Neurospora crassa OR74A: one gene and its partner. The protein of the gene in region 2 purifies or fractionates together with the protein of the main gene of each other region. This does not show direct contact. Links are inferred from orthologs where the notes say so. Each region holds a gene or a part of one and is shown on either strand. Other genes may lie near its edges.

Region 1 (3,225 bases), about 170 kb from region 2:
CATTCCGGACAACGTCAACATGGGTTGATGGTGGTGATGGTGGCGGTGGCGGGATCTCAGACTTTGGCTGGACCTTGACTTCATTCTTTGGCGGCCGTCCATGTTTGATTTCGAACTGGCGCACCTCCCTGGTGATGGTCTCCTCGGCTTCGCGGACTTGTTCATCGAGGATACGCTCTTGTTCTTTGGTGAGCTCCCAGGGTTTGTAGTACTAGTAGTATCATTAGCCCTCGATTCAAGTCGTGTTCGTTGTCCCAGGGGTCAAGTTCTTACAACTACCGGCTCGCTGACAGTTCGCAGACTATGAGCCAAGATAAGCATCTTTTCATGCCGCCGGTGCATCTAAAAGTTAAAGGGGTCTGTTAGTAAGCATGTTCAACAGTCCGTTGTCAAAGGACAACCTACCATCCGCTCTTCGAAGTCCACCTGCTTGGCATCCCGGAAGCGTCTGCGTTCAGCGAGCAGGTCGGTTCTGCGCCTATCATCCTCGACTCTCTGCTGCTGCACTCGTTCCTGCTGGCGGCGTTCAATCTCCTTTCTCCTCTTTTGCTGCGAGTTGTTGGGTGTAGTCTGACTTAGAGTGTTGAGGAGACCACCAAACAAGCGCCTGCCGCGTTTCTTCTCCTCCAGGCTAACATTCTTCCGCGTTTGTTCGGGGCTAAGTGGTGCCTTTCGAGACGGCGGTGCGGCCTGCTCCCTTTGCTCGTCGGACTCTCTCCTACTAGTAGTGACTGGGCTTTGAACTGTGGTTTCTTGGGCGCGTGCCACAGCTTCGTTCTCCATTGGATGATCATTGTCCTTGGTAGTTGACGTGGCGTGGATCTCCCTCGCTGTGGCGACCGGCTCCCGCATCGAGTCCTTTACAGGTTCCTCTGTCCTGCCGGTTTTTGGCGTCGCTTCCCCTTCAACAATCTCACTGATCCTGCCCTGGACGTTCCCGTCCTCCAGTTTGGTGCGCTTAGCAGCCACGCCATCCTCTGGCGATGGTGAGGAAGTGGCCTTTCGTTTCTGGGTAGACAAGTCCTCTGTTTCCATCATCGGTTCCGAAGACATGAGTAGGAAATCGACAGCAGCTTGGCGTTGAAGCTGAAGCAAAGGTGTTGGAGTTGTAAGGTCTTGTAGCTCGGAAGTGATTGGCAGAAAACGTGATCGGCGTAACAAAAAGGTTTTGTTGTGCGTTGCAGTTAAAGGTCGAATGTACTTCTCCCATATATGTCGAATGGCCGGTTTGATCTCCCAACACGCCCGGTTCGTTGTTGGAAACTGGTGTTGGTGGATTGATGGAAGCCAAATTGTTAGTGACCGGCTGTGTCCAGAACTTCTCCAGTGGGAGAATCACAGTGAGCAGCTTCCCCGAAAGTGGATTATTCAGGGTAGTCCGCTGTTCGAGGCCGCTCGAATCCCCCTGTTCGGGGAAGCAGCTGGGAAGCTAACCCCACTTTCCTGCACCAGTCGCATGTCTTGGCATTTGAAGATCCGCTCTTCCACGAGGCTGACAGAAGAAAACGCGGAAAACGCTAGAAGAGGACGCCACATCGCTACCCACTTGCCGCCGAGGCTGACGAAATTCGATTCCACATCGGCATCGCCAGTGATCGCATCTTTCGCCTTGCATCACGTTCCCTATCGTCCTCGGCTACAACCACAAGTGCCATTTCGAGACCAGATTCACCGTACAGCGCATTCTCTGAGCGATCAATTTATACTACGCGACAGCACCACGCGTGCCCATCTCACCCGAATTTCAATCCTTCTGCCTACCATCACCGTCGCGAAAACACATCATAATCTCTAGCCCACCATGTCTCGCCATCATCCGTACGTCTCTTTTATGCTCGCTTCCCTCCTTGCCCAACCCAGCCCTGCTTGACCCTTTCTTGATAAACCTTCCCGACTATGTACATACTAACATTCCCGTTCCCCACAGTGATCTAGTAATGTGCCGCAAACAATCCGGCATCGCCATCGGCCGTCTCTGCGACAAGTGCGATGGCAAGTGCCCCGTGTGCGACTCGTACGTGCGGCCGACGACACTGGTGCGCATCTGCGACGAGTGCTCGTTCGGCAACTACCAGAACAAGTGCGTGGTGTGCGGCGGCGAGGGCATCTCGGACGCGTTCTACTGCTTCGAGTGCACCAGACTCGAAAAGGACAGGGATGGGTGTCCCAAAATTATAAACCTGGGTAGTTCCAGGACGGATGTAAGTTCTCTTCTTCTTTTTCCCCCCCCCTTCCCGCTTGCCGTGGGATAAAGTGCTTGGAGATGGCGTGCTCGTAAAGATTAGAGGCTAACGAAGTACGTTTTCACACAATAGCTATTTTACCAAAAGAAAACAAATCGAACATTTTAACAATAGAGATGCCCGGGCATGGGCTTGTGTGGGAAGATTGTTTGGGGTGGTTAGTTTCCTGATATGAGATGGGCTCCTGGCTGTGACGGATGGAAACCATGTTGGAAGGGGCATATAACTTCGAGAAAAGAAATTTGTCACAAGCTCAAGCTGCATTTGACTTGGCATCAAGGGCGTTAGGGAGTTCTGTTCACATACATAGCATAAGAGGGCAGGAGTTGAGAAAGACAAAGCTGAAAAGCAAGCACGTACTCTTAATTAGGCGTTGACTAACATGGCCTTGGTTACTCTTTAGAGATTTTGCCATCACATGTCAGGTTGCAGTGATTGTGTCATCTCTTTTGACTATGAACTGAAAACGAAACAAGCTATTTTCCGTGATGCATGACCCATTAACGATAGACTCGAAACAAAACTGTCGCATGCCAAAACCTGCTGCGACAACAGCCGCAATGCTAATTATCATCAGAGCAGGAATATTCCCTCCCTTACTCCCAATGTCCAAAATAATACTGGTACCCAAGCAGCAAAAAAGGGGCTCGGATCAAATGTAACTAACTTTCATCCCCATTCCAGCCGTAGCCTTCACTTTCCCCCACCCTTGCTGCACCACTCTTGTGATTCTCTCCCTCACGCTCTTTTTGCTGAACATCAGCAGGAACCCGATAATGAACGCCAGCGTCCGGTACAGCAGGAACGGGTTCCCATGGAATGCCGTCATAACCTGATCCAACACCGACCGGATATTGTTCAGTATCAAAGCCGCCTTCGTGCCCATTCCAGGGCCGGTCACGGCACTCGAAGAAGAACCCGTCGTCTTGGTCGCGGTCGGTGACGACGCTCCTTTCCTTGACGGCCTAGCCGGTTTCGAAGA
Region 2 (4,253 bases):
CCTCATCACATAACTGGACGCCAAACAATTTGGAATAAACTGACCTTAGGTAGTTGGCATGAATACCAACCATGCCTTCCAAGCACTGTTCGCTACTGAAGTTCCAACCATACTCAAGCTCGGTGTAACTTAGGGGCGTCATCATGAAGCCCTTAGTAAGTGGGTCGGTGTAGCCTAACCATGGCCTCGAGCTCAGCGCAAGAACACATGGCTGATCCTGAACTGATACTTGGAAAAGTCTGGTAGGCTTGGGACCCAAGAATTTTTGACGAGTGTCTGTCAGTTCGCCCGTCACTTCATCCAGCACAGTCCGGAGGTAAACGCCCGAATGCAATCCGATGTGGAGATAGAGCGTGGATCCACCAAACGAGTCCTCCATCGACATGATTGATAAAGCCGAGGGCGCGGCTGTTAAAGCTTGGATGGACTTCATCTCGAGTGTTGAATCAGGGTCCAAGCTAAGAATGCGAACTGTGCAATCATCGCATCCTACAGCTAGGAAAGAGCTTCGCTTCAGGCCCTCCGGTACTTGACCGACGCTCAGCGATGTGACGGTACCCGACATCTCCTTCTTTTCGTCATACTCGGCGAGCGAACCATCCGAGTCCATTTCGAAGTAGACGATTTCGCCAGAGCTCAAGGCGATGACAACCTGATTCTCATTTGCCGTGGCAGCAACAATCGAGCGATGCTGAGGTGCAGGCCATTCATTGACACGACCTTGGACGATGTGGCGAATGCCCTTGGGGTGAACTTGTATCAAGCCATCCTCACCCATTTGCTGCACAGCTAGGGTGGGCGCCGTAGTCAAGAAACCACTATCGCTGACCTCTTCTACCGTCTCACCAATGCTGAGAACCAATGTTCCATTTGTGAATGACAGCACAATATAAGCATCGTACTGATCGTACTTGGTCAACTTAGTCGTCCATACAGCAGAAGGTGTACCCGGAAGCTCCGAAGCGACAATTTCAGACACTTCGAGTCCGTGCTTCAACATGCGGAAAGTACTCCGCGCCCCATTTCCACAGACAGAGTAGATCTGGGGCGCGTCCTCTCCCGTCAGATTCGCAACCTTGCAGTCGACCTGAGGGTTCATCGAATCAATGCTCTCAACCAGGACCAGATTTTCAAGTGGCCTGGGGTGGAAGTACACCGGGTTATATGAGGCGGTAGGGTCTGTCGGGAAGTCGTCGCTGCTGAACTCGAGCTCCTCGTCATCGTCTCCGAGCTTTTCAAATTGGTAAAAGTGATGGTTTCCAAACTCGCTAGCGGCGAACAGGAAGCCGCTCTTCAGGATGCAAAGACTAGTGGCTACTGGTATCGTGTCGAAGTACTTGATCTTGAGGCGCTTGACCTCTCCGGTGGGGTTGCCGTCACTATCTTCGATCATGTCAATGGTGACTTTGAAGAGATCTCCATCGTCCGTCTGAAGAAGGAAGAAAAAGGCGCCCGCGCTTCCCTTGAGCTTGTGCATAACGCCAGAGACGATAACCCGCTTCCTCTGAGGATCTTCGGTGGCACCGCTGCGTCTAGGGATGGGGACGCGGAAAGCCTCTTGATTCGAGTGCCGATAGGTGACATTTTCCTCGCCGCACACCAAGACACCGCTGGGACCGTCATTGCCGCCGGGTACTTGGAAGAGAAGTGAAGAAGTGCGATCGACAGTATCTGACCACTTGCGTACAACGTGGTTCAGGCCCAGATCAAGCTCGTAATATACCAGCTGTGTCTCGACTTCTTCTCGTGCTTGGCCCGTAGGATCTTGGTCCGCGTCCGTGTAGTCCAGTTCCAACGCAGCGAAAACGGGGTTTGCGTAACCAACGTCAAGGGCAACAAGAGACAGCACCAACACGCCTGGCTTGTGGGCTTCCAGTGGTGACGAGATGGTAAGCTCGGCCTGTGAGTTTCGGTTGAGAACATAGACCAGCTTGTTCTTTTCGAGTGCCGAAATGAGGCATGCTCTTCCCTTTGGATCTGCGGCTAAGTACTGGCCGGGGATGACTCGGCGGACGCCCGATTTGCCGAAAGTCTCGAGGTGGATGCGCTGAAACTTGTTCGTCTTGGGGAGATACTCGATAATCGTAATGCGGCCCGAATCAGTGGCGAGGATAATGTAGTCTGGGTGGCACAGGGTTTTAGCACAATCCCGCTACCGATTTGAATGAGTCTCTCAAGTCCCCAGAAGACTCGTAGGCCTGGGTGCATGGTGCGTGACCATACGTGTGGCCCCTCTACCCAGAAGCACCTGGGGAACGGATCCAGAATCACTATATTGCCCAACACAGGAGGTGGCGGGGAGGTTACTCACCCTTGTGGCTGCCGGCCAGACGGAACGACGCGATGGCGCGTACGATGCCGAAGATGTCATGAGACAACAGGGTGTTGACCTTGCCCTGACGGGGATCAGGCTGAAGGAGGGTTAGACGCGATCCAGACGCCGTAAGAATCTGCTGTTCCTTGGTTCCCGAGAACTGACCAAGCAGAGCCTGCGTGACAGCGGTGGGTGGCTGGATGGTCAAGGAATACAGGAACATGTTCGACGTAGTCGCCATGGCTGCAACTGGGCGCAGACAGCCGGCGCGGCTCTGCTTTCTCGAGGTTGTTTTTGCAAGTGGGTAGGACTCGGTTGTGCTCTGTCAATGCTGCCGTCGTTATGTTGAGAAGACCAATGCGCGAAAGTCAGCCAGATTGTCGAAAATCTAGAGTTGAATATCGAGTAGATGATTGTAACACGGCAAAAAAAAATGAAACACGGTCCAGTGTTCTGGCACTCTGGCGAGGTAGATGGAGTCGGTTGCCGTCGATGGTATTTCTGGCCAATTGGTGCAGTCCAGTCACTCAGGTTGCAGCGGTACGTCGGACTCGGTCCACGGTAGGTCGTAGACGCCGCCCACTCATCTTCCCGCCTCGCGACTGTGGCTTGCTCGTAGCTCTCTGACCCGCATACGTAACGTCAGACGGAGCTTACCTAGGCACAATTGTGGCTGGTGAAGCAAGAACAAAGTGGGTCATTCGATGGACGGGACCCGCCTAGGCACTTAGGCACAGTAGAGGTAGGTAGCGAGTCGGGTCGGTGGGAGAGGACCCCGGATTGCTGGGAGCTGCTGCCAAAAAGTCAATTGGAAAGTCGCATCGAGTCCCGGCGATCCAGATTCCCGATCGAACATCATCCGACCTCTTGAACTCCCAATGGCCCTCCCAGCAGACCGCGCCGTGCGTCCGGCCTTGTCCAAGCTTTGCTCGCAATGCTCGACTTTCACAGCTAGACAGAGCAGGCAAAGTGCTGCGTTTTTGCAGTCAGCCCAGCAACGCTCCGTCAGCTCCATCCGAGGGGCACAGAGCTCTTCCTCGTCTTCGACGCAAGTCGGCGGCATCACCAGAACCATTTCGCGTCCGATCCAGGCTTCGATCACAAGCAAGCTTCCTTCCGTTGCTGCCCAGTCCAGAACCAAGGCCAGCAGCTCGACATCGTTTGCCACCAACGAGGATCTGGCCGGTAGTGGTATCCCCTCGAAGCCGATTCTCGAGCAGGACAACCTCTTCCACTCCTTCACCAACTCGCCCATCCCCAAGATCCGCCAGCGCGCGGCCTTCATAAGACAGCACGCCAGCTGCCCCCACCATAGCCACCGCCCAGGGCAGTTCTCCGAGACCAACCGCCAAGTCGATACCGAGTCTGGCTCCCAGCCGCCGAAGCACGTCGATTTCGAGTGCCCTGACTGTGGCATCCCGGTATATTGCAGCGAGCAGCATTGGATGGACGACTATGAGAAACATCTCGAGATATGCGACACTCTGCGGCAGATCAATGAAGATGACCATGACCTCCATTCAGGCCGCCACTTCTACGAGTTCAACTACGCCGGTCCGCAAATGGATGATGCCATGGTCAACATGACCAACTGGGACACGTTCATGTATACCCGTCAGTTCGAAGCTGTCAACGATGACCGGTGCATGAGACAGGCGACTAGGTTGTTGACCTATCCTCTCACGATCGGCAGCGTTCTTCACGAGTTGAGCCCGTACCACATCCGGAATCGCCTCACGGTCGAGGGCTTAAAGAGTTTGACGGCACTTCGCTATACCCTGCATCCTCCCAAAACTGGAGGCAACGAGTCTATCAAGGGTCTTCGGCCTGAGGCGCCCCCCGTGCGTGTCTTTATTCTCGGTGCTCGCGCTGAGTCGTCGCTGCCTAGAGATGCTTGGGTGCAGTTGGCCCATCTCTTCCCCCTGTCGAGACTCCATCT

Evidence for each region.
Region 1: the proteins of NCU00396 (region 2) and NCU00348 purify together in Saccharomyces cerevisiae (affinity purification with mass spectrometry; 5 studies listed by BioGRID). This does not show direct contact. The link is inferred for Neurospora crassa OR74A from reciprocal best matches to the Saccharomyces cerevisiae genes RSE1 and RDS3.

What each region holds. Positions count from the first base shown.
Region 1 is NC_026503.1:3,536,850-3,540,074, reverse strand, and holds NCU00348 (pre-mRNA splicing factor), read left to right. Parts: upstream 1-1,545; 5' UTR 1,546-1,801; coding exon 1,802-1,818; intron 1,819-1,927; coding exon 1,928-2,201; intron 2,202-2,315; coding exon 2,316-2,351; 3' UTR 2,352-2,659; downstream 2,660-3,225. Other genes in the region: NCU00349 (hypothetical protein), read right to left, coding at 1-211, 274-342, 406-1,053; pex26 (peroxin-26 Pex26-Penicillium chrysogenum), read right to left, coding at 2,896-3,225. UniProt on the Saccharomyces cerevisiae protein: Required for pre-mRNA splicing. Involved in regulation of drug sensitivity and may play a role in multidrug resistance.
Region 2 is NC_026503.1:3,707,082-3,711,334, reverse strand, and holds the start of NCU00396 (pre-mRNA-splicing factor rse-1), read right to left. Parts: upstream 2,838-4,253; 5' UTR 2,556-2,837; coding exon 2,312-2,555; intron 2,249-2,311; exon of another isoform or gene 2,122-2,248; coding exon 45-2,121; intron 1-44. Other genes in the region: NCU00395 (mRNA processing protein), read left to right, coding at 3,193-4,253. UniProt on the Saccharomyces cerevisiae protein: Involved in G2/M transition. Required for pre-mRNA splicing and endoplasmic reticulum (ER) to Golgi secretion pathway. U2 snRNPs associated protein required for the pre-spliceosome assembly.